Coturnix japonica: one gene and its partners. The protein of the gene in region 6 interacts with the protein of the main gene of each other region in a pairwise test. Links are inferred from orthologs where the notes say so. Each region holds a gene or a part of one and is shown on either strand. Other genes may lie near its edges. The genes, in order: SMAD3, ARRDC1, ATN1, FAM189A2, CPSF6 and WWP1.

Region 1 (3,500 bases), on a different chromosome or scaffold from region 6:
GATTGATAAAAGGAAAAGCTTTGGTGTTTTTGTCATTCTTTTCCTTCCCTCCTCTGGTTTTGCTATTAGGAGCCATTGCAGGCTGTTGTTCTCTGAGCTGCAGTAGTCTGGGTGCTTTGGAGCAGCAGCTGGGGGTGTTTGAGTTCCCTAGCAAGTGGCTTGTGGCAGCATATAGGGATGGATCAGTCCTAAAGTGTTGGGCTCAAGGGGTTTCTGTTGGCTTCTCATGGTACTGCAGTGCTGTTCTGACTGTGCCACAGGCTGTTGTGCAAGCAATGAAATTCCCTGATTGCACTCCTGGAGTCTTGGCACTTTCCTCACTGGGTATTTATCACTGTTGCATGTAGTGCTGGGGTAACCTCCCCACTGGCTGCTCCTTGGTTGGGTTTGAACACTCCATGCTACAGCCCTCTGTGTTAGACCAGCTTCTCACCAAGCACACCTGAGCGTGGCTGTGGGTGCACAGACCCGGCTGACACCCCTGGTGCTGGAGGGACCCCTGCTCACATCAAGGCTTTGTGTGATTAGTTCCTGAATTTAGTTCTGTTATAAGTCATTGTGAGCTGGTATCAGCTCGACAGCCTGGCTACGTTCTGGCTTTGTTTCTGCATTTCCTTGCAGGATCTCATAGCCGACATGCTCCATCACTGGCGGGCAGTGCTGACTCCAGGCTGTGGATTGCACTGTTTTCTTGTTCTGTCCTGCAGGCTCAGGATATGTGCTGGTTGGGAACGTGGTGAGAGGCTGCGTCACCCACTCAGGTCTGAATGTGAGCGCTGAAATTAAGAGCTCTTCTCAGCCTTAGCTACTTAATCCCATAGTGCAGCATGGGGACACTTGATGTGTTCAGCTGCAGCTGACTGGAAGGAAGAGACAATGTCCCAAAAGAAGTGGGGCTGCAGAGAGCCCAAGGAGGAATTTCACAATCATAAAAATGTAATTGGCCTCCGGGGCTTTGGGGGAATGTCATTTCTTTTACTGTATCTCCTTATTGAGGGGAGAGGGGAGACGGGGAGGTTATTGTGATTGAAAACAAAGCATATGGCTCTGTCATTTCAATGGTCTTTTTAGATAAGATCATAAAGTGCATCTCTTTTTTTCCTTACGGAAAGCTGTGATAGCAACACTTGGGAGCTGTGCTGTGCTTTCAGGCTGGTTTTGGCTTAGTTAGGTAACTGCTTGTAGCTGTTCAGGCTGCCTTCCCCACTAGTTCCTTGTGAGTTGTGTGCCTGAAATGCTTCTTTCTTCTTGGCTGAGCTCAGAAGGAGCTTGTCATGAGAGCACACCTGGGAAACAGAGCTGATAGTGCGCTTAGAGGTAGATATTGAGAGTATTTTGGAGCTGAGATGTAATTGTGGATTTTAGTGTTTCATGCTCTGTACCAGCAATTCCCTCAGTGATGGCGTAGTTGTTCTGTATACTTCCCATGCACAACCGTGTTTCCCTGCTCCCCGCGTCAGGTGCAGCTGGGATCCACGCTGTTTCTGTTTCTCCTTCCTTGCTGTTGCAGCAGTGTTTACAAGAGATGTGCGTGTTACCAAGCTCTGGTTTTGGGAAGAGTCTCCCAGGGCAGCCAAGACCAGCACAACCACTGCTTGAATAGTTGTTTGTGTGGGTTGGGTTGGGTTGGTTTCTCTGGATTGGCTGCCAACACAAAGAACCAAGGGAAATAATTCCAAATGAAATTCAAATTTCCTTTTTCCTTGACCAAAAGTTAAAAAGAAGAAGAAGAAGAAGAAGAAATAGTGTGTTTCACCAAAACCCAGAAGTGTTTAATGTCAGTCATAATGGAAAGCGAAGGGGCTGGATTTCAAGGAGTAGAAATGGGAGTGCATGTCTGTGTGTATGTTAAAAGAGTATCTCTAACCTGGGGTACCTTTCTTCGAGCCTTCAATTTGAGCTCTTCTCAGTAAATTAATGATTCTGAAGTGAGACTGTTACATAAAATAGACATTTTTGCATTTTTCAGAGATGTGCTTTGTGTGACAGCTCGGATCCTGCAGCAGCATCTCAGTGGGTTTGGGTGGCTCTGGGGATTGTCCACAATGCGGAGCCTGGTGGGCCAGCCGTGTGCTGAGCCTGCAGCTTCACATTGCTTCCTTGGTGGGATGAGGTCGGTGATGTGTTTCAGTGCCAGCCCATGTAACTCTCCCCTCTCTCCCTGCAGGTCGCTGGATGGCCGGCTGCAGGTGTCCCACCGCAAGGGCCTCCCCCATGTGATCTACTGCCGGCTGTGGCGGTGGCCGGACCTTCATAGCCACCATGAGCTGCGGGCCATGGAGATGTGCGAGTACGCCTTCAACATGAAGAAGGACGAAGTCTGCGTGAATCCCTATCATTACCAACGAGTGGAGACCCCAGGTACTGCTGACCCCGCGTGTCCCTTCTGAGGGACGTATACATGCATTTCAGAATTGAAGAAAGCAGCAGGCGTAGGGTTTTCAAACCAAAGCGTATGTATTATTGATGATAGTCTCTTACTGAGCGCAGCAGAATAATTTATGAATCTGTGCTCAGGGGGAAAATATCATTTAAAATCGATGAAAAACAAGTTGAGCAGGCTGCCTTCTTGCCAGCTTCCTAATGTGTCCCTGTGTGCCCAGAACCAACTCACACACACAGTAGTTACAAGTGAGGACTGTGGCAGTGTTCTGCGCATCCCTCACTGCTGCTCTTGTTGGTATCTACTATCAACTATCAAATTGTGTCCCTTAATTAATGACTTTGGTGTTGTGTGTATGCGAGGGTGGTACTCCAGACTGGTTACATTTCATTTTCTGGGGTTTCAGTCATTTTATTTTAAAGCTGCTAATCCTGTTCTCTCTGTTTTCCATTTGTGCAGTGTTACCCCCAGTTCTGGTGCCTCGGCACACGGAGATCCCAGCTGAGTTCCCACCACTGGACGATTACAGTCACTCTATTCCAGAGAACACTAACTTCCCAGCAGGCATTGAGCCGCAGAGCAACTACATCCCAGGTACAGCATCTCTCCATCTAGCAAGTGGAGGGAGAAGGGTCACACTGCACAGTCAGTCGTGTCTGCGTGTGTTGAGCTGAATGAGTGGCAAGTCTTTATTTCTATTGTTGCCATGAAGCAAATGAACAGGAAAGTGTAGAGAAGCAGATGATAGCTGTAAATGTAGAATGATGGCATTGCTGTTTCAAGTTTTGTTTTCTTCAAACTCACTTCTTCCCTTCAGTAGGGCATACTCAGTTTATTGTGGAATCTAAAGCTGAATGTTCCCATAGATTTGACTGACGTTCAGCCAGTTTAATTTGAGTAAAAGTGTAGATTTCTGATGGAATTGAGCCTTTCTATTTATGCATCTTTTTTCACAAGCAATTTACACCTTATTTGTATGGGCAAACGGTGCAGCTGCACAGCAGGAAAGGAGCAATCTCTGGACAGAAAACTGTCTACATGGCTTAAAGTTTTATGGAACCAAAAATCCTGATTTTGTTGTTTCCCTCCTCTGTTATTGACTCGTATGCTCTGCTGT
Region 2 (4,265 bases), on a different chromosome or scaffold from region 6:
TGCCCATCTGATGGACACTGCTACGCAGAACAGCCCAATCCACAGCCCTTCTGCAGGAACATCTTCCTGTGTCAGAGTCCAACAACACAGGGACTCAGAAGTGACCTTCTAGTTTGGTGATACAGCTCAGGATCTGCCTTCAGCCCCCTTCTCCACTGCCAGATTTCCCAGCTTTCCAGCTGAGAAGTCAAACCATGTACCTCATTTCAGGCTCTGCAGAAAGGAGAGTTATGTACCTGGGTACTTCTAGAGCACGAACTGACAGCAGTATATTTTGCCTGCAGATTTGTAGTTCAAAGGACTGATTTGAAAGTCAAGTCATCATCGCATAAACCTGGACAGCCAAATAACAGAGCAGAGAACACGGCACTGAAATCTGCTCCAGAAAGGGCTTTCAGTTTCTTTTCTCTCCGTGACCTGGGAGAGACAGCTGTTATTTACCGTTACACTTCTGCCCACAAGAAGCATCGCTGAGCAATAGGCATCAGGGCTGAAATAACCCACATGGCTCTGGATGCAGTAGAACAGTGAGGAAAGTGCTCCAGCAGCCCTGAGCAGCATCAGGGTTGTTCCAGCCAACAAACAGGGCTGCCCATGCTCTGAGAGCAACTTCTTTCCCTCCCACCTGCCCCAAATTAACTCCACACCCAGCTGTCCCAGTGCCAGCTTCCTGTTAGATTCATTATTCTTTGTACACAGGTATTTGATGGTTTACCCAGCAAGTGAGGCACAGCAATTAGGGACATGGACTCCCATTAGCGATATCCCTCGAGGCCCAGAAGTTCTCAGAGGAAGACCTCCATCCTGGCACGGCCATGGGGTGAGTGTGCCCCACTGACGTGGCCCCAGAGGGTCCACATGGGTCACGAAAGGTGAGTCACCATTTGTGACGTTGCTACATGGCCAGCAAGGCCAATTTGTTACTGAACAGCCATTACTGCTGTCAGAGGGCTGGCAAGGAACCAGCGTAGGTGGGAGCATTTATGATCCTAGAAGGTGTGTCTCCATTAAGCTTCCCTATGACCCAAGACTTCCAGCATGTTTGACGAGGCAGAGCGAGCTTTGTTCGCTTGCACTGACCATCCTTTGATAGGGGCAATTTCCAAGAGCCATAAAACAAGGTACCGTGTGAAGTAATCGTCTACAGGCCTGTTTGTGTTTGCTACGTCAGAGCAGTCCAGGAAATAGAAAGCACCATACCTGGGTGCTGTGAGCATGACCCTGCAAAGGGGAAGCACCGCACGCCTTCCCCAGAGAGCTGCTTGTCAGTCCCGGTCACAGGAGCTGTGGGTGAACACAGCACAGAACACAAGCTGGGGAAGCCACCTCCCCTCAGACCCCAACAGAACCACAGGATCATAGAAAAAGGGTTGAAAGGGACCACAATGATCATCCAGATCCAACCCCCTGCTGTGTGCAGGTCACCAACCAGCAGCCCAGGCTGCCCAGAGCCACATCCAGCCTGGCCTTGAATGCCTGCAGGGATGGGGCATCCACAGCCTCCTTGGGCAACCTGTTCCAGTGTGTCACCACCCTCTGGGTGAAAAACTCCCTCCTGATATCCAACCTAAACCCTCCCCTGTCTCAATTTAAAACCATTCCCCCTTGTCCTGTGACTATCAGCCCCACATGCCCAGAAGGCACAGTGTGCCAGAGGCTGACTGACCCCATCACCATCATGTCCAGCTGCCTGCTGCTGTACCCACAGGAGGATGCTCCAACCACCACTCCTCCCATTCTCCTGAAGGTGAGACCAGCCCAGCAGGGAGGGCGCACAGCAAGGAGCCCAGGCACCATGTCTCCACGTGCACTGCTTATCTGGGCCAGTACAGGCACCAGCCGTGGCAAACTGCCACCCCAGCGGTGAAGCCAACACACAGCGAGTGACCTCAGCCCAAAACGGACACTAGAGAAGCTTCTAACAGGGGGAGGCACACCTCGACTCTTGCCTCAATGCATGTGCCGTCTCTCAGAGCCCAGCTCAGGCTCTGCTCGCTACCAAAGCACAGCTGAGCCCACCCAGCAGGGCTGGAGGTCAGCGTGCCCGGCTGCCAATGCCGGCGGTGCAAGGAGCCGCTGGGAGCAGCCGGCGAGGAGACCCACGCGCTTTGCTCGGGAGGGAGTTAAACACCAGACAAGCCTCCACTTGTCCGAGATGCTTCTTTTCCTCCCGAGGAAGCTCCCAAAATCCGCCGTGAGCACTTGGGAGAGGTGCTAAAGAACAGGGGAACCGCGGCGGGGCAGCACGGCCACCTCCCAGCGACGGGAGGCTGCGTTTTAAGCTCTTTGGTTATCATTACCCCCACAGTAACATGTCTCAGGGGCAGAAACGAACAGGAAAACAAAATAACCAGTTCATATTTCCCCCATTACAACACGTGTAACCGCTGCAGACTTCTCCGCAACAAGGTGGCCAACAGCCCACCCCAGGGGCAGGTCCAGACCCCCCTCTATAATGCAACAGGGTGCGGGATGCTCCGGACCAGCTCGGCCCAAAGGCTGCCAGCCCCGAGCCCCGACCACGCAGCGCCGCCGCCCGGGGAGCCCCGTCCCCATCCCCGGGCAGGCCCCGAGCTCACCTCGGTACTGCAGCGAGCCCGACAGCCGCACGGTGACGGTGCCGGCCAGCGGCTCTCCGGGGCTGTAAATGACGCGGCTCTCTCCCAGGCGGATCTCAAACAGCTGCACCTTCCCCATGGCCGCTCCAGCCCCGCTCCGCTCCGCTGCTACCTGCCCTGCCGCTCCGCTCCGTGCTGCTCCGCCGCCCTGCCCCGTCGGGCCGCCCCGCCTCCGCCCGCCCCGGTCCGTGCCGTAGGGTCGGGGCGGGCCCTGAGGGAAGGGGCGGGCGGAGAGGAACGGAGAGGAGGGGGAATGTGGGCGGGGGATGCGGCGGTGGGACACAGGTTGGATGGAGGGATGCGGTTGTGGGGTCGGGATGCGGTTATGGGGTTGGGATGTGAGGGAATTACACGGTTATGGGAGCACAGTGTGAAGGAAAGACGCGATTATGAGGCCAAGCTGGTAGGGAAAGACACGACTATGGGTCCAGATAGAGCTGCAGGGGGGGAACCTAAGACACAGCTATGGGATTGGGCTGTGGGGAAAGGAGCCACTTATGGGGCCAGGCAGCATTGCAGACCCAGTTACGGGTTCAGGCTATGAGGATAAAACCCAACTATAGGTTCAGGATGTGAAGAAAGGACCCAACTGCGGGGTCAGGCTGTGAGGGATGGAGCCAGGTGCCCAGCCCAGGCCCAGCTCCATCTCGCCTCTAATCTGATCTCCCTGTAATTCTCCCTGCCCAGCTGTCTCTCTTCTCCCCCCCTCCTTATTTATTATATCCCCAGTTAGTTCAAGTGTCCAGTGGGAAGCACACAGGCACACAGCATGGGACCAGGGCTGGGAGACAAGCCCAGGGAGCTGCGGGTCAAGCAGCAGACCAGCACCCCACATTGCCCTCTGTATGTCCCCCTTGGTGCTACTTCTGCTGCATGATCCCGTTTCAAAAACTCTGTTAAAATAAAATATAATAATAACAATAAAATAATAAATCACCTTTTCTTTATTCCACAGCAAACACCAAACACGGTGCTGGGGAAAGGCACCTCCCAGAGAGGCCTCCCGGCTGATGACAAGCAGGTTGTGTACACGGGCGGAATGAATAAGCGTAACAAGGGCTGTTTAGCTGTTTATCCGCAGAGCACACACCCAGCAGGACGGCCGGCCCTGCAGTGACACCAGCCCGAGCTGCAGGAGCCTCCCAGGTCCCCTTATGGGGGGTAAAGCCCCACCGAAGGGGTTTGAGCGCTGCATGGGAATGGTTTGTGTATTCTCAGCACACAGGGCTCCTGCTGAGAAGCTCTTCCAGGCCGTTACTCCTCTGCTGCTTAAAAGCTACTTTTTCTTTCCAGCCTGTGCATCATCACAGGAGACGAACACCCTGATGGGCTCGTGCCAACAATTTATGTAGCTCATCTCCTCCTGCGGCGCTCACCCTCAGATGCTTCCATACACCGCTCTCCTTGCGCTGCCCTTTTAGCTTTTGTTTTGCCACTTTTCTCTCCTGTCCTTCTGTAAGATGAACCCGCATCCTCTGTCATCAGCCCCCGCAGCTCAGCTCCCTCCCAGTCTCTCCAGGTGACATTGCCAGCATAGAAACAACCAACCAACACAAGCAGGTGAGGGGCAGCAGAATCACCCTGTGCTACATCAGGCTTTGCTGAACCCATTGCCTCCTCATGGAATACATCTGAAGACCCAGAGCT
Region 3 (4,209 bases), on a different chromosome or scaffold from region 6:
TACAACCATCAACTCCACCTTCACACAATAGAACAATGCCGATGAACATGAGGAAGACACAGCAGGGAGGTTGGAGCTAGATGAACTTTAAGGTCCCTTCCAACTCAAGCCAATCTATGACCAAGGAGCAATAAGGAAAGCATTTATGGAGTTACAGAGGTTGAATCTGGGGATGAACATAACCTTCTTTATCCGTTCCAGCTGCACATAAAGTCCTCCCATCTTGAAGACAAATACCTGTCAGGTTGCTCTTGGTATAACGATCTTGCTAGGGTACAGTCATCGATCCTTGCATGTGTGGTATTATTTTGGAATACAATTATGCCCACAAAAAAAATTTGACTGTGAATCCTTCTGCAGACAAATCCAAAGGTGAGAATGTAGGAACCTTTTGGAGGTACCCAAGGGGTACAAAGTATGGGGGAGGAGGCAAATTCATATGAAAAGATGGAAAGGCGGGCCATCACAGCAGGTTAAACCTGTTGATCTTCTTTATTAGGACTCAGTGCACGTTTAATTTTCACATGTTTAGAGGAGTTCTATCATTTCCAGCAAGAGGCACAGCACTGCAAATTCACTCCTCAAAGCCACGCTTGAAAAGCTCCATTGTGAATCACAACCAGAACAGTACGGTTTGAAAGGCCGGTCTATTCCCCCCCAAAGATGGGGGAAATGCACAAATGACTGGTTATGGAGACACCAATAACAAAACTAGAGATAAATAGGCCAAATCAATTTGACCATTCACATTCACAAGTGTCCTTTGCAGGGACAATGATTTTGGAGTTTCAGCCCTTCCACTCCCTCAAGGATGCAGGTACGGCACAGCAGTGATGCACAACACCCTTGGCTTAAAGGAAAGGAGACTCGCTTTCAACTCAAACAATGGTGGGACTTGAGTTGATGAAACTGAGGCAAACCCAGAAGGGCTGTGCTGTGACATGAGCACATTGATTCCTGAGAGAAAACACGGCTGATCTCTGAACCTTTAGGCATAAGCACAACTGAAGGTTCAATAACTGCGTTCCACCATTCAGGTGGCGCAAGATGAATGACATATTCAACTGCTCTGCTGCTACACACCTTGAGGCAGTGGCCTGCTACTTTCCCCTCACTTTTTCAGTGCTAGGAAGCAAAGAGGTTCCCATGCCATCTATATCCAGTACAAGAGCCCAAGAGAGATATATTCACAACGGATTTGAATGGCTAGCTCCAAGATAGACGCTATTGATGAAGAATCACGGCAATGCAAAACAGACCGTGCAGACAAAAGACACAAATTCTCACAAGCAGCTGCGCTGGCAACTAAGTAACTCGCTGCAGAAGTCAAGCAGCCACGGCACTGAGGCAAACGCAATTAAAGACACTGCCCCTTCCAGAAGCAACCTCAGAACCTCGTCGCAGCTGGCAGGAGGCGATCGACAGATCTCAAGTGCAAGCAAAGCAGCGTGCAAAAAGCGATGCCACAATGACCAAATGGCTGCCACTCCAAAGCACAGCCGGCTACTCGCTGGTCAACAGCCACCAAAGCGTCGCAACCTGCCATCTGCGGGCCAGCAGGGCAAAGCAGCCACCGACTCGATGGCACAGCCAGAGGAGCGGCACAGGGAATACGGCTGCCACCTTTCGCAGGGAGCTGAAGAGCCGACGAGCACCCAGGACGGAGTGCGAGCACCACCGCCCCCCGGGTGGAGCCGTGCGTGCTCCCCGCTCCCCCGGCAGCTGTTTCTGTCCGTGAGCGGGGCAGCGGGTCCGCCCGAGCTGCGGTTGGCAGCGGCGGGGCGAACCCCAGCAGCGCACGGATGTGCAGCACAGGGGGAGCGCACGCACTCGGCCGTACGCCGGTCCCCCCGCTCGGAGCCCGTTCCTGCCCGCTCCCGAGCCGCACCTGGAAAGCGGGGACAATGAGGGGCTCTGCAGGAGGAGGGACGGATTCTCGTGGAGGTTTTTCGGGCGGCAGGAGCCCGGCCGGCAGCGGGCGGCCCGATTCCGTTCCAGCATTGTTTTATTTCGATTCCCGCACGGCTCCGGGCTGAGCGCTCACAGCTCCGGCCCCTCCGCCGCCCCGGGGGCAGCCCCTGCCCCGGCCCCCGCCGAACTTCGCCGTGCCGGGAGGGGGCTCGGCGGGCGCTGACGTCACGCCGGGAAGCGGCGGGGCCGGGGGAAGAAGGGAGGGGGGGGGTCCCCGCCCCAGGACCCCACGGCGGGCCCGCTCCGGGGGCCGGATGGGGCTGGGCGGGCGGCCCCCCTCGGTCATTGACGATCGTTCCCGGCTCCCTCTCGCGGGGAGCGGTTCGCTCCGGAGCCGACGCGACCCGGTCCCGGTCCCGGCCCCGCCCGCCGCGTCCGCGCTAGGGAAGGCACCGCCGGGGGCCCTTCCCCACCGCCACGGGGGTTACCGCGTCCCGCCCGCGCCCCCCGCCCCGATCCGACAGACGGACGGAGAGAGGGGATCCCCGCGAGTGGGCGAAAATGACAGGCGGCCGTGAGCGGGAGGGGGACTCACCGGCGGCTCCGGAGGGGAGGTCGAATGAAGGGAGGAATGGAGGAGGAGAGGAGCGGGGGAAGGGATTTAAACGCTGCCCCCCTCCCCCCCCCCTTTTTCTTTTTCTCCTTTCCTCTCCTTTTCTCCCTCCTTCCTCCTGCTCCTCGTTCCCCCGCTCTCTCTTGTGCCTCCGGGATCGCGGCGGCGCGGGGGCAGCGGCTCCGAGGGGGGGCGGCGCCCCCCGTCCCCGCCGCGCCCCCCGCTCTCAAGCTCCGCCGCCCGTGCCCCGCTCGCCGCCCGCCTCCCTTAGCCACCTCCCATTTCCGAACAGCCCAGAACGAGCCCCCCCCTTCTCTCTTCTCTCTCGCCCCGTCACCCCCGAACCGCGCTCTCCAGCCCGCCCGTCCCCGCCTCCCCGCCGCCGCCAGCGCGGCTCGGCCCCGCTCCGGGAGACGAAATGGCCGCGGGCTCCCCGCGGCGGGGGGCGGGCGGGCCCGGGGCGGGGCGGCAGCGCTCAGCGCTCAGCGTGCGGTGCGGGCCGGCGGGCTCCCATCCCCCGCGCCGTTACCAGGCAACGGCACAAAGGGAGAGAGCCTCGTGCGGCGGAACCAGAGGCACCGGCGGCCCCGAGACCGAGGAGGCCGCCTCGGGACGGGCCTCCGCGGCCCCACTACGCAGCGAGCCGCCTCCACAGTGCCCTGCGCGGCCCTGGAGAGCTGCAGCGGGCCGCTCTTACCCACGTTTGCTTGTTCTTGCCCTCAGTGAAGCGAGGGAGCCATCTCTGTAAGGTCAGGCCTCGCCTGGGCTATCGGTGGTGTTGGTTGCCACCAGAAATGCTGTTTAAGATGCAAAGGAGACGCCGTGCCGTTACAAAGGGCTCCAATTCAGGCAGAATGTTAAAAATGTGAACAATTCTCCCCCCCGCCCGCCTGTGGGCTCCGCTGTGCTTCAGCAAAACGGGCTGGATGCTGCCGTGTCGGCAAAGTTGAGGCTCGCTGAGGGCCTGCATGGCCGTCTTGAGAAAGTTGAAGCAAAGGACGGCTGCTGGAACGGGAGCTGGGGAGCCAAATGGTTCCGTTACCCGGTACAGCACGGCAGGGCCACCATCTGCTCTGGGCAGGCTCATCTGAAGCCAGGAGTGAACGAGTGCTGCTCTCAGCTTTAGACTTTGGAAGGAAGCAGAAGCAAACACTGTGCTGCCATGTGAGCCTGCGTGCTGCAAGGACACGGACTTGGTATGCACAGGGGCGAGTCCTGCTGGGGCATTTGGGTAGTCTTCACATATACAGTCACAAAACCTTCCCTACAGGACCTCCCGTCCATCAGCGAGCAGGCTGGATGTCGCTCTCAGTGGGTGTTTGTTCAGAGCTCCTTATTGTCCGTTACATGGCTCAGGGCATTATTCGCTGTACGGCATCCAAACCTGGCACTGAATGCAGATGTAAGAATGTCCCTGTGGGTTTTTCTGTAGTGCTAATCACCGCTGCGCCCGAGCATTTTATAAACAGCCCTAACAATGTCCCAGCAACATTCTTGCAAGCTTTTGTTCCACACCCTCTTCCCAGCAGTACCATGTCGCTGCCGGGCCCACGCTGGACTTGGTGTCTGTGGTTCCCAAGCCAGCTCTGCTGCCAGGCAGCGTGCCATTGCACAGCACAGTGCAAACAGCCGTCATTCATTTCTCCGTCTATGCTTCTCCTCATCCTATCTCTTTGCCTTGACCC
Region 4 (3,500 bases), on a different chromosome or scaffold from region 6:
GGTGCGGTGGTGAAAGCTGATAGGAGGAAAAGAGAAAACAGATGATGCAGTGGAGACGTGAACACGTTCTGCAAAATACTAAGAGTAATCCAGTGTTCAAAACAAATGACCATTACAAACACTCCCCCATTTCTGTTTTGTGTGCACCAATGCACATCAGCAGCTACTATGGGGATTCCAACATGCTGCAGTAAAAACTATAAGACTTTGGACAGCTGCAGACTTTGTTCCTAAAACTGAAAGACTACAGAGAAAGCAAAACTGCGGTGCTGACAGCAGTGTGTATGACAAAGCACAGCCTGCATGCTGTAACATAGGCACAGTTAGGAGACAGGAGCTGGTGTTTGTAGGCTGCTGGTTCAGGGTGCTAACCCTCTCTGACAAATGTTTTCCTAGGGGTTCATTACCTAAACAAGGACAGAGAAAGTCAAGTCACCTTGTGACAGCTGGCAGTGTAGCACAGGGTCACTTCTGGACCGTTTCTGTAAGGGACTGAAGGTTCTGTGAACTTCTGCGGGCGCGGCGCTGGCAGAGGGCAAAAGGCTTGTTCTGCTGGAAGAGTTGGAAATTTCTTCACCTGAGTAAGCAGGAATAGAAAAGGTGAAGGAAAGTAGTTAGAACAAAGCAGATCTGAGAGCATAATCATTTAAGATGATTGTTTTTTTGTTTGTTTTTTTTTTTTTGCTCCCCAAATAGCTGTAATGATTACAAGTGCTTCTATGTGAGCATCTGCCTGCACACACAACAAACACTCATCTGAGGTCTGCTTGAACTTTTACAGAAACCTATTCACCTTATCCAGCTGGAGTAACAGCAAATACATCTTTGCTTCACGGGAATCTCTACCTGATTGGAGAGAAGGGCGTCCTCCTAGAGCTAAAGCCAAACCTTGCAGTGCCTACTATTCTCCTGCATATGAGCAGAAGTACCAAAACAAAACAGCATCCAGCCACAGAGGTCAGACACTGCTTGCAGTTATGTAGCTCATGAATCAATCATCAAGAATCAAAGACCTTGTTTCATTCCAGTGAATGAAGCACTTGGTAAAATTAGGTCTTGGATGATCTCTGCTTGTTGAGAACAGCAACTTCTATACCAATGCATCTAGAATCTTCCAGAAAGAAGGAAGGGTAAGAGCTGGGAAAGCCATGAAGCAGGACCTAGCAACAAACCATGGCAGACTGAGTGCCAAGGTGGACTGAAGAATCCACTGCCAAAGCAGACTCTCTAGTGGAGCTGTTCTAGCAGTCACTTCTTTAGACACGGTGATATTGGTGTTCTGGTGAGGGTGTTTTTTAATACTATTCAAAAGAACAAACTGATTTCAAGACTTTAATGAAAATCCACATTAACTTTACAGGTGTTAAAAAGGGGAAGTGGTTCAAAGCTGAGTGTGCCTTGAAAATACCCAGTTTGCAATGACCAAGGGCAGCTGCTGAGCACCCCCAGGCCTCAGGAGGTAACCCTCCTATTACAATTGGCTGAGAAACTCCTGTTTGGCTCAACAGGGTCCCTCCTGCAGCTGGGATGCACCTTAGCTAGCAGGCAGCCTTCACTTCCAGTGAGAGATACACCTTGCCCACCCACTCCAGTGGGGGCATCCAAGAGAAAAGCCTGGTGCAGCAAACTGCCAGCATAAGCCATAACTTCACTTTTATTTATAGACTGTTACTTGACATCAGCTGAGACAGCGGGTGGCGTTCCTCCTCCAGCCTGGCTGCAGCACTGCTCCCTGCTCTGCCCCTCCCTGCCCCATGGCAGCAGCACTGCTCTGGCCCCGGGCCCAGGGCACAGCATCCTGCAGGCTGCTAAGAAAATGAACCAGTACAGACCTGGTACACACCCATTGATAGTAATACAGGAGGAGATACTGCTCAGTGTATCAATTCACTGTCCCTGCAAAGCTGAGGAATGTAGAAGAAACAGTGCTTACTATCTCTACCAAGGTGCTTGCTTTCTTCTGCTTGAATTCAGCCAGGCTGAGAGTTAAAAGTCACTTTATAGGCCACTAAGAGAAGAGGAGGGACAAATAAACTAAAAGGATGAGGAGAGTACAATGTGCTCAAGTCTGCTTGATTGTGAAGGAAGATTTTAAATACAAGCAACACCTCCAACAATGCCTCACCATGGCTTCTTTTTCTTTCTTTCTTTCTTTTTTTTTTTTTTAACTTTTCTGACCATCCTTTGCAATAAGTTGCCTCTTCTATAGTTCTTCTATTTTCTACTCTCACAATTTAAAGCAGGAACCGTGCAGCCTCACGTTTGCTATCCTATATCATTTTCTGTACCCTGTAGTTTCTAAGCACCCAGAGGAAGCAAGTGTTGCGTTACCTACAAGAAGGCCTTCACAGAACAATAAATAGAAAACCTATGCTGAGAACAGCTTGGAGCAATTTCCATAGTTTGCTGAAACAATGCTGAAAAATGCAGCATCCACTTGTAGTGTAGCCATGGTGGTACAGCAGGAGAGGCTGAACCTTCCACCAATATCCCATCACATGTTGATGTTGCGTGACAGATGGCAGCAGAGGGGCACTCTGACAGAATGGCATCTGACATGGAAGTGCAGATGGAGTGAAGGTGTGGCACTGATCTCCTCCATGTGGAAAAAATGGCACTCATCAGCACTGGCTGATGCTTGCTGAACATTTTGAGAGCCCAGCCAGTGGATGTGAGCACAGGGAGGCAGAGGGTGGTGTATTTCAGCAGCAGTGACAGCAACAGCAGATCACCTCTACTGGTGCAGAACTTTACAAGCACAGCATGCAGGCTCTTGCTAAGTGTTGGTGAAAATGCACAGCTAATGGTGGCGACCACATTGAAAAATGGTATTTTGTAGCTGAGAATTTGCACTATCAAACAGCACTCATGTGCTCTTTCTAGCTATTACAGTTTCCATGGGAATTAACAGGAGGCATTACTTTTGGAGCAACTTACATGTTCTTTCTTTTTGTTGTTTGCTGTTCACGTACTTTTTTTTTTGCAACTCGAGCATTAACCCCTGTTCCTGCTGCCCAACCATAGTTCTGTATCTCTGGCTTTCAAAGCCAGACACTGCATGAAATCCTTGTGACTGGGCAGAACTGTCCTACAGTAACTTTAAGATGCTCCTACCTGGAGAGGCCAGCCTGCCTCTGCTTTCTGCTGAATCAGCAACAATTTCCTCACCCACTTCTTGCAGTCTGCTTTCCTGGAATAAAACAGAAAAGCTGAAGAACACAAATGGGCGCCAGCACTTTTCAAGAACTGAAGCACTCACCCTGGAGAATGAACTGTGCAGTGAATGTAACTGCACGATGACTATGTTATATGGGCTTTGCTCCACTATAAAACTATCTAATCTGTATAATCAATTTTTATCATCCAGTTCTGCCAATTTCAGTGAATATGGTACAGACTTCCAAGGTGAGCTGCTAATCTTACTCTTACAGACAGACAGACAGACAGACAGATGACATTTGGAGACCCCTACAAACCACACCTGCTCAGAGCCAGTCTGG
Region 5 (3,952 bases), on a different chromosome or scaffold from region 6:
AGTGATGCGAGCAAAAATACTGCGGTTATGGGACTGTTGGTTCAGAACATGACACTGCGTAAATACAAAACACTGCTGGATGGGGAAGTCAGCTGAGAAGACAAATTATCAAGAAAAGAAGGGGAGGGGGAAATGAAATGGGAATTAAAACCAATTTAAATACAAGTGAGGGGAGACAAACTGAGTAAAGCATTAGACACAAGGACAAAGGACACAGTTATGATGAACAGTAGGTTAATGAAAGAGGCAACACAGGCACATACGGTTTTGATGAGCGCCAGATGGGAAGGGAAAGTTGTGCTTTCACTGCAAAGATGTGACTTCAAGTCCAGCCAGCCAGTTCTTTGCAACCTGCAGCTGGCTGCAAGACAGGTCTCAGTTTTCATTCAGTTCAGCCAGCCTGAAAACCTGGGGGCTGGAGTTTTTACTTCAGCCTTGTAACCTGGACTTCATCTAGTGCTAATCAGGTGGAACATCCTCCCACCTCATAGAAGCAGGCAGAAAACAAATCCCCAAATGGCCTCAAGTTGCACCAGGGCAAGTTTAGGTTGGATGTTATGAAGCACTTCTTTACAGAGAGGGTAGTTAAGCACTGGAATAGGCTCCCCAGGGAGGTGGTTGAATCGCCATCCCTGGATGTGTTTAAGAGCCGTTTGGATGTGGTGCTCAGGGATATGATTTAGCAGAGGGTTGTTAGAGTTAGGGTACTGGTTAGGCTGCGGTTGGACTTGATGATCTTTAAGGTCTTTTCCAACCTGGGTAATTCTATGATTCTAAAGAGCTCCAATAGTGAGCACATTGAGGCTCAGAGCAGGACAGAGCAACGAAGGGCTCACTCAACCACGAATCCTAAGAGATTTATTTCCTACAAACACAAAAGTGCTGTCCCAGCTTTACTAATAAATACAGTTATACCGTATTTGGAAGAATGAAAAAAGCTGCACAGCATGTTTCCAGTCCCTGCTACCAACAAAACTAATGGAAGGGGCTCCTGCAGTCCAACTAACACTAGCAAGCGGACACAGCACCACACAACTCAAGAGCAGTATGTTGTTTTACATATAAAACAAATTTTCGTTAGAAATACAGCATTGCATAAAACACCTGTTACATAAATTACCATCAAATTGCCATCATTTTCCCCCTACAGCATTAGAGAATTGTAATCTTCACCCCTCCGCAGCCATGCTGAACTGTAAGTCCTCTCCTATTAATTCAAGCTGTCAGCTTCAAATCAGAAACCCTGAATAGAGGTTTCAAGAGGACTCATCACAATGGCATCAGAATTAGAGGTAGCAGCGCTGTAGGTGGTAACAATTGGCTTTTGTTCCTGCTCTGCAGAAGGAAATGGAAAGTGCAGAGGTGCCAATCTTTGCCAGTCCAACTTTCTATTTTAATGAAATACAGTTCAGCTGAGTAGGTTCTGAGACAACATGAAAGCCCCAGAACTCAGGCTTAGAAAAGAAGAAACAGAAATGTCTTGCAAAAATTAAAGCAAGTAAAAAATCTGTCTTCACTGAGGTTACAGCCACAAACTGCACCACTTCGAGGCCTGCCCCCTATACGAATTTACACAAGTACTACTGGATTCAAACTATCTTTTCTGAAGAACTTGGTTTGTTATCACTTTTTTACGTGGAACTGACTAACACAAAACCAAAGCTGCTACAGAAGCTGCTGAGATAGAATCAGAGAACAGCTTGGGCTGGCAGAGGCCTCAAAGATTATATTTTATGCTGAATGGTATTTGTGCTGTACATCACCCCCACGTAAATTCATCTAATGGGTCTTCAGCTGTCAGGGAGAAACCTGCACATGTCTCTGTCATCTGCTCACGAGGGATGGCGTAGCTATATGCTATACCTTCAGGAGATTATCGATCTAAATTAATTTACCGACAAATACTGAAAGAAATAAAGTTGCTGGTAACATGAGCTGCGTATCCCAACCCTGCCGCCTGCTCCCACTCCACACAGGCAGCACTATGGGACCTGTTTTAGGGCAGTGCAGCCAGAGAAGTGCGGCACCCGCACATGGAACAGATGTTCCACAAACCCGACGACAACATCGCCTTTCGGTGGGAAGGGAGGAAGGCGGCTTTGGGGAAAGGCGAGTGAAAAAGAAACCAGAGAAATCAGACGGCAGTGCAGGAAGTTGTGCGCGTTACACCGCCACTTCCTCACACAAATAAATCCCCTCGGCTCACCAAGAGCCCGAGCATTGCGGGCACAGCCGGCGGGCGGCATTGCTGCCAGCAGCACGAGGCTGCGCTCCCCCGCTCCTCCCGCGCTGCGAACAATGGCCGGGAAGGGGCCGCTGTCCCGGGCGGGACGGCTGTGGCGGCACAGAGAGCGGGAGGGAAGGCGCCCGCCCGCGGCCTGTCTGCCTCCCTGCCTCCTTCCCTCCTTCCCTCCCGCCCCCGAGCGCCGCCGCTCCCCGCCCGGCCCAGCCCCGATCCCCCGCGGGCCGGGCCTGAGGCGCGGCCTCGCTCCGTCCCGTTCCGTCCCGCCCTGCGGCGGGGCGCCCGAACAATGGCGGCGCGGCGCGGCCCGGCCCCGCGCACAGGGCCCTGCAGGCGGCGCGGCGGCGAAGGCGGGTGAAGAAGGAAAGGAAAGCGAGGGGAGGAGGAGCCGGGCCGCTCCGACCCGTACCTGGTTGAACTCCTCGCCCACATCGGCGTAGATATCGATGTGGTCCACGCCGTCCGCCATGATCCCGCCCGGCCGCGCCTCGGGCCGACCGCCAGCCGCGCCCGGCTCCGCCGCCGCTGCCGGGAGGGGGAAGGTGCACGCGGCGTCACTTCCGAGCCAGGAGGGGGAACTTCCGGCGGCTGCCGCTTCTTGGGGGGCCGCCCCGCCCTGCCCGCCCCTTCAGAGTGCAGGGAAAGCGGCCCGAGCCCGCCTCGGAACACGGCGAAGTACGGGGCCGCTCCTCAGAGCCCCGCCGTTCCCCCTCAGCGCCCCTGCCAGGTCGCGGCGCGAGGTGCGAGGATCGCCCTCGATCCCGGAACACAGTGTGTTCTCCATTGTGTGTGGTGTTTCTCATCCGAAAATAAAGTTGCCTTTTGACAACGAGAAGTTTGTGTTTCTCTAGACCGGGTTGAAAGAGTGTTAAAGACCACAGGTGGATTGAAAATGCTCTTTTCCGTGAGTGGGAGTGCTCCTGGATCAGCATCTGTGGCCCTGAGCATCCCTGCTTCGTGTTGTGCTTTGGTGCTCTTGCGTTATAGTTCTCTTTGAAAGGAAAGGTTGGTCTTTTCCTGACAGAAAAGAGGTGAAAAATCAGAGAGCCACAGCAATGGGTATGCTGTGGATCACGCAGGCTTAAAGTATGGGCTGCTGTCTTATGCATATCTCTGTCAGGGCCCCTTTTTCCTCCTGCTTTTGAAAGGAAGAAAGCTCCAGCTGTATTATCAGATGGAAGCTAGTGTGAAAGAAGAGCTGAGGGAACACACCTGCTCATCTGTGTGCTCTCTTGTTCAGAGATGGGTCTGGAAGGCTTGCAGTCATTTGGTCACTTGCTGTCCCCAACAAACTTCATTAGGACTCGTCTCCCAGACCAGGCTGTGCTACCAAGGTCTCTCTCATGACCACGTTTCTGCTTCAGCCCTCACACTGGCTCAGCCTGCTGAGTCCTGCTGTACTTTGGGCATGGAGATGCTCAGGTTGTCCCTGGAGTTCTCATCCAGTTTGTGGCACACACACACATTATACATACATACAACAGCCTCTTGTGCTGTTATATGTGTTAACAAACAAAAAAACCTACAGCTGGGATTGTTCTCAGCTGTGAGAGCTTTCCTAACCAACAAACCAAGCACTCCTTGGAAAGCCCCTTGGAGAGGTTCAGAATATCACCTGAAGAAACATTTACTAGAGTGTATCCAGGCACTGTGTGTGGAGATTTAAAAAGGACCACGTCTGGCTTGATGATGTTCTTGTTACTTGTAACA
Region 6 (3,500 bases):
CAATATCTGTTTTTGCTTTCTAAGAAAGCCAGGAATTGTTGACATTACACAGCTATTGCAAGTAGTAAGTAGTCTTAAGTTTTTATTTATAATAGTACTGTACAGGATTAAGAAAAATGAACTCTTTAAAATGATGAAACACCATTTTATAGGCACTAGGCTAGTGTTAAATTTTGCACATTTCTATCAATGGGATTAAAACTGTAGAGATATCTTAGTATTTTGGCTTCAGTTCTTAGAATTGGAAGCTTATAATGTGCTGTCAGTTAGAAAACCACTTGAAGTGTGTGTGGCATATAGTATTTTGTCTTGAACAAAAAGATTTACAGCTCTACAGGTACAAACTGGCAAGGTTAAGTAGAATTGTCACCGATTGGTGTTGATTAGGGATTCAGAAAATTAAAGCTGTGAATGATATTACACTACTTCACACAATGTCCTTGACTTTTAATGGGGTCATATTGACTACTGTACCTGATTTCTGATTTCACTAGTTTGAGACAAAATCTTGTGCCAAGATACTGTTCTGCTAAGATCTGCAGATGGAGAAGACAGATTCTATAGCAGGGTGTGTTGTGGCAGAACAATGGAGAATGGTTTCAAACTGAAAGAGGGGGAGATGTAGACTGGATATAAGGAAAATGTTTTTTGCAGTAAGGGTGGTGAGTCATGGGAACAATTCACCAAAGATGTGCCCCATCCCTGGAGACATTAAAGGTCAGGCCTGATGGAGTTCTGGACACCATCTAGCTGTAGGTGTCCCTGTTTATTGCAGGGGAGTTGGACTGGGTGACCCTTAAGGGTCCTTTCCAACTCAAGCAGTTCCATGATTATGACTGGTATTGATGCATTGCCAGACAAGAGGGCTTGAGAATACTAAGCCTTAGCCTGTTTTTCCTCCCAAATCTGTATGCTTTAAACCTTCTATGAGATTATGCTTGCTTGACTTGGATGACATTTGGGTTGTTCTTAAAAAGGCAGAAATTAATTTACTTTGATTCTATTGTCATTTTTGTAATTTTTTTAGTTTATATCAATCGCGTTGGTATTCTGGATCTGCTGGGATGGCGTTCATTTTCTTCATGGCAGTTGTATGATGCTGTGTTTTAGATTTATGAGCAAAACCATGCTGATAGCACGGTTATGCTTTAAACGCTGCTGAAGAGTTTCTTCACAACATGAAGTCCTTATCTGTTTCTCATTCAGCCTCTTCTCAGCTGATGAACAGATTGGGAGTGCTCAGGAGGTTGGGAGTGGAAACATCCAGGCAGATGACCTGAACCAACCAAAGAGATGTTCTTTGTCATACAATGTCATGCTCAGCAATAAAAAGGGAGAGGAGAAATTTTGGGGTCGTTAGTCATCTTTCTGCATGGGAACTGGATTACTGTCATTCTATCCATGGGAGGTGGTGAATGATTGCCTTTACATCACTTATTTTGTTTCATTGTTTTTGTCATCTCCTAATTCTTTTCTTACTAAATATATATATATATATATATTATCTCGGCTCACAAGTTTTCTTGCTTTTACTTTTCATCTTCTCTTCCCCAGTCATGCTGTGGGTGGAAGTGAGTGAGTGGTTGTGTGGTACTTGGCTGTCTGTCATAGTTAGCTCACGACAGTTAGCAAAATGTAATTTTTTAGGACATATTGATTTTCCTAAGGATGCTGGGGTGATCTATTTATTTATTTATTTTTTAAATAAGATACACAAGAAGATATTAGATCTGTAAGAACTTTTTATTTGTATGTCTTTTTATTTCTGCGTTACATGTAGTTACTTGGCTCCCAATGCTTTTCTTTCTTGTCATGCTAATCAAGATATTTTTCTGAAGTTGGTACAGCTTCTCAAGTAAGGCAGTACTGTTTCTCTGGTAGTGGATGTTTACTTTTTGCTAATCTCAGGAATAATGTATAATGTTGTATTGAGGAAGGTATGCAGAAACTAAGAAATAATCTTTGCAGGGAAGTATAGAGAACGGCTTGCAGACTGTAAGATTTAATTACAGCTTTAACCGAAGCTGGTGCACTTTTTGTAATCTTCAGCAAAAATGTTACTTATGGCACATAGGTGTAAATTGAATCAAAGCGAGGAATATGTTTAATATAGTATACTTCAAAATCTGACCAAAAAGTTTAATTCTTTGGAATCTGATATGCAAATATTCTTATTTCCCATTTCTCAGTTAATGGTGAGACATCTTCCTCTGCACCAGAAGCTGGTAATTCTTCTGTCTCTGAAGCTATGGTAGGTTCAGAAGCTCCTATGTCTACAGATTGCACTAACACTACAGCAGAACCTCAATCAACAGAAGAAGCAGCTAGTTGCTCTGAAAGCCACACTTCTACGCTATCCGTTGTGTCTGCTGGACTAGAAGCTTCAGCTACTACAGACTGTGCACAGCCTAATACCACAAACAGTACAGCAGCAGATGCAGCAAAACCAAGGGAATCCTCCTCAGCCTCAGGTGCATCAGGAGAGACTTTAAGACAGCAGACTGTTAATGCTGGTACAGAACCTTTACCACCAGGGTATGTGGGCTTGATTTTAACACTATTATTGTGTTTTGTCATAATGTGTATGTGAAGAAATCACAGTTTAATTCCCTACAGGGGTTGCTAAATACAGATCAGTTGGCAGAGATGGGGTTATATGATCTAAAATGAGATTTGTACTATTCTATAACTGGCTGGTAGCTTATGTCCCAGAAACTAGCAGCTGATCATTTATTTGTTGAGACAGTAATGTGATCTAAACAGAGGAATTCTTGGACATTGTGGATATGAAGAAGATTCATTTGATATATTTAAACTTACTTGGGTCATAATTAATTGCTGCCATGGTTCTTATACTGTGGGTATGTAGTAGGGACTAAAATATGAAGAAACAAAATGAATAAAATAGTCTAGAAATTTGGGTTCTTGCAGTGTAGGATTGTAACCAATAATGTGAAAAATACAATGTGAGTATGTGCTCAGAATAGCTAGAAACTTCTAGTTCTCCCAAACTGAAACTACTGCTGTAGTCCTAAACCTTAAATGTAAAATCAAAGATGAGCTTAAACTAAAATAAAAGCATAATATGTGCTCAAATAGATATACTGATCTCAATATAAATAAATTAAAAAAAAAAAACCAAAAACCAGATATCTCATGTTTGGGTGAAAAGATGTCTTCAGTAACTAGTTGAAGATGCTGACATTTTTGTAATAATCTAAATATTAACTATTTTAGCATCTTTTTTAACACAGAAGTAGTTACTTGCTGGAAGTATATATACACTGTGCCATCATAGCTGATATTTCTGAGATCTGTCATTCTGTCATGTATCTGCTCTCTCTGAAACAGGTTCAGTAAGTAATTAGTGACTCTTCTCTTGATTTGCTGTAGATAAACATGAAAACAGGAATCTCAAAAGACAGAAGTATTGTAGATACTTTATTGAGGAAATGTCTCAAGGTTCTTAATTTTCAATTATTTTCACAAAATTCTTTATA

The links.
Region 1: the proteins of WWP1 (region 6) and SMAD3 interact in binary tests that used the Homo sapiens proteins (3 or more experiments, as listed by UniProt). The two-hybrid records come from large-scale screens. The link is inferred for Coturnix japonica from reciprocal best matches to the Homo sapiens genes WWP1 and SMAD3.
Region 2: the proteins of WWP1 (region 6) and ARRDC1 interact in binary tests that used the Homo sapiens proteins (3 or more experiments, as listed by UniProt). The link is inferred for Coturnix japonica from reciprocal best matches to the Homo sapiens genes WWP1 and ARRDC1.
Region 3: the proteins of WWP1 (region 6) and ATN1 interact in a two-hybrid assay, tested with the Homo sapiens proteins (2 studies listed by BioGRID and IntAct). The link is inferred for Coturnix japonica from reciprocal best matches to the Homo sapiens genes WWP1 and ATN1.
Region 4: the proteins of WWP1 (region 6) and FAM189A2 interact in binary tests that used the Homo sapiens proteins (3 or more experiments, as listed by UniProt). The link is inferred for Coturnix japonica from reciprocal best matches to the Homo sapiens genes WWP1 and ENTREP1.
Region 5: the proteins of WWP1 (region 6) and CPSF6 interact in binary tests that used the Homo sapiens proteins (3 or more experiments, as listed by UniProt). The link is inferred for Coturnix japonica from reciprocal best matches to the Homo sapiens genes WWP1 and CPSF6.

What each region holds. Positions count from the first base shown.
Region 1 is NC_029525.1:17,079,068-17,082,567, forward strand, and holds part of SMAD3 (mothers against decapentaplegic homolog 3), read left to right. Parts: intron 1-2,167; coding exon 2,168-2,361; intron 2,362-2,842; coding exon 2,843-2,977; intron 2,978-3,500. UniProt on the Homo sapiens protein: Receptor-regulated SMAD (R-SMAD) that is an intracellular signal transducer and transcriptional modulator activated by TGF-beta (transforming growth factor) and activin type 1 receptor kinases.
Region 2 is NC_029532.1:1,142,539-1,146,803, reverse strand, and holds the start of ARRDC1 (arrestin domain-containing protein 1), read right to left. Parts: upstream 2,801-4,265; 5' UTR 2,698-2,800; coding exon 2,580-2,697; intron 762-2,579; exon of another isoform or gene 747-761; coding exon of another isoform or gene 716-746; intron 1-715. UniProt on the Homo sapiens protein: Functions as an adapter recruiting ubiquitin-protein ligases to their specific substrates. Through an ubiquitination-dependent mechanism plays for instance a role in the incorporation of SLC11A2 into extracellular vesicles.
Region 3 is NC_029516.1:69,576,381-69,580,589, reverse strand, and holds the start of ATN1 (atrophin-1), read right to left. Parts: upstream 2,801-4,209; 5' UTR 2,507-2,800; intron 2,148-2,506; exon of another isoform or gene 1,889-2,147; intron 1-1,888. UniProt on the Homo sapiens protein: Transcriptional corepressor. Recruits NR2E1 to repress transcription. Promotes vascular smooth cell (VSMC) migration and orientation. Corepressor of MTG8 transcriptional repression.
Region 4 is NC_029547.1:31,129,185-31,132,684, reverse strand, and holds part of FAM189A2 (protein FAM189A2), read right to left. Parts: coding exon 3,482-3,500; intron 3,191-3,481; coding exon 3,115-3,190; intron 578-3,114; coding exon 437-577; intron 1-436. UniProt on the Homo sapiens protein: Functions as an activator of the E3 ubiquitin protein ligase ITCH in the ubiquitination of the CXCL12-activated CXCR4 receptor. Thereby, triggers CXCR4 endocytosis and desensitization, negatively regulating the CXCL12/CXCR4 signaling pathway.
Region 5 is NC_029516.1:32,103,073-32,107,024, reverse strand, and holds the start of CPSF6 (cleavage and polyadenylation specificity factor subunit 6), read right to left. Parts: upstream 2,801-3,952; 5' UTR 2,712-2,800; coding exon 2,652-2,711; intron 1-2,651. UniProt on the Homo sapiens protein: Component of the cleavage factor Im (CFIm) complex that functions as an activator of the pre-mRNA 3'-end cleavage and polyadenylation processing required for the maturation of pre-mRNA into functional mRNAs.
Region 6 is NC_029517.1:111,470,460-111,473,959, forward strand, and holds part of WWP1 (NEDD4-like E3 ubiquitin-protein ligase WWP1), read left to right. Parts: intron 1-2,189; coding exon 2,190-2,535; intron 2,536-3,500. UniProt on the Homo sapiens protein: E3 ubiquitin-protein ligase which accepts ubiquitin from an E2 ubiquitin-conjugating enzyme in the form of a thioester and then directly transfers the ubiquitin to targeted substrates.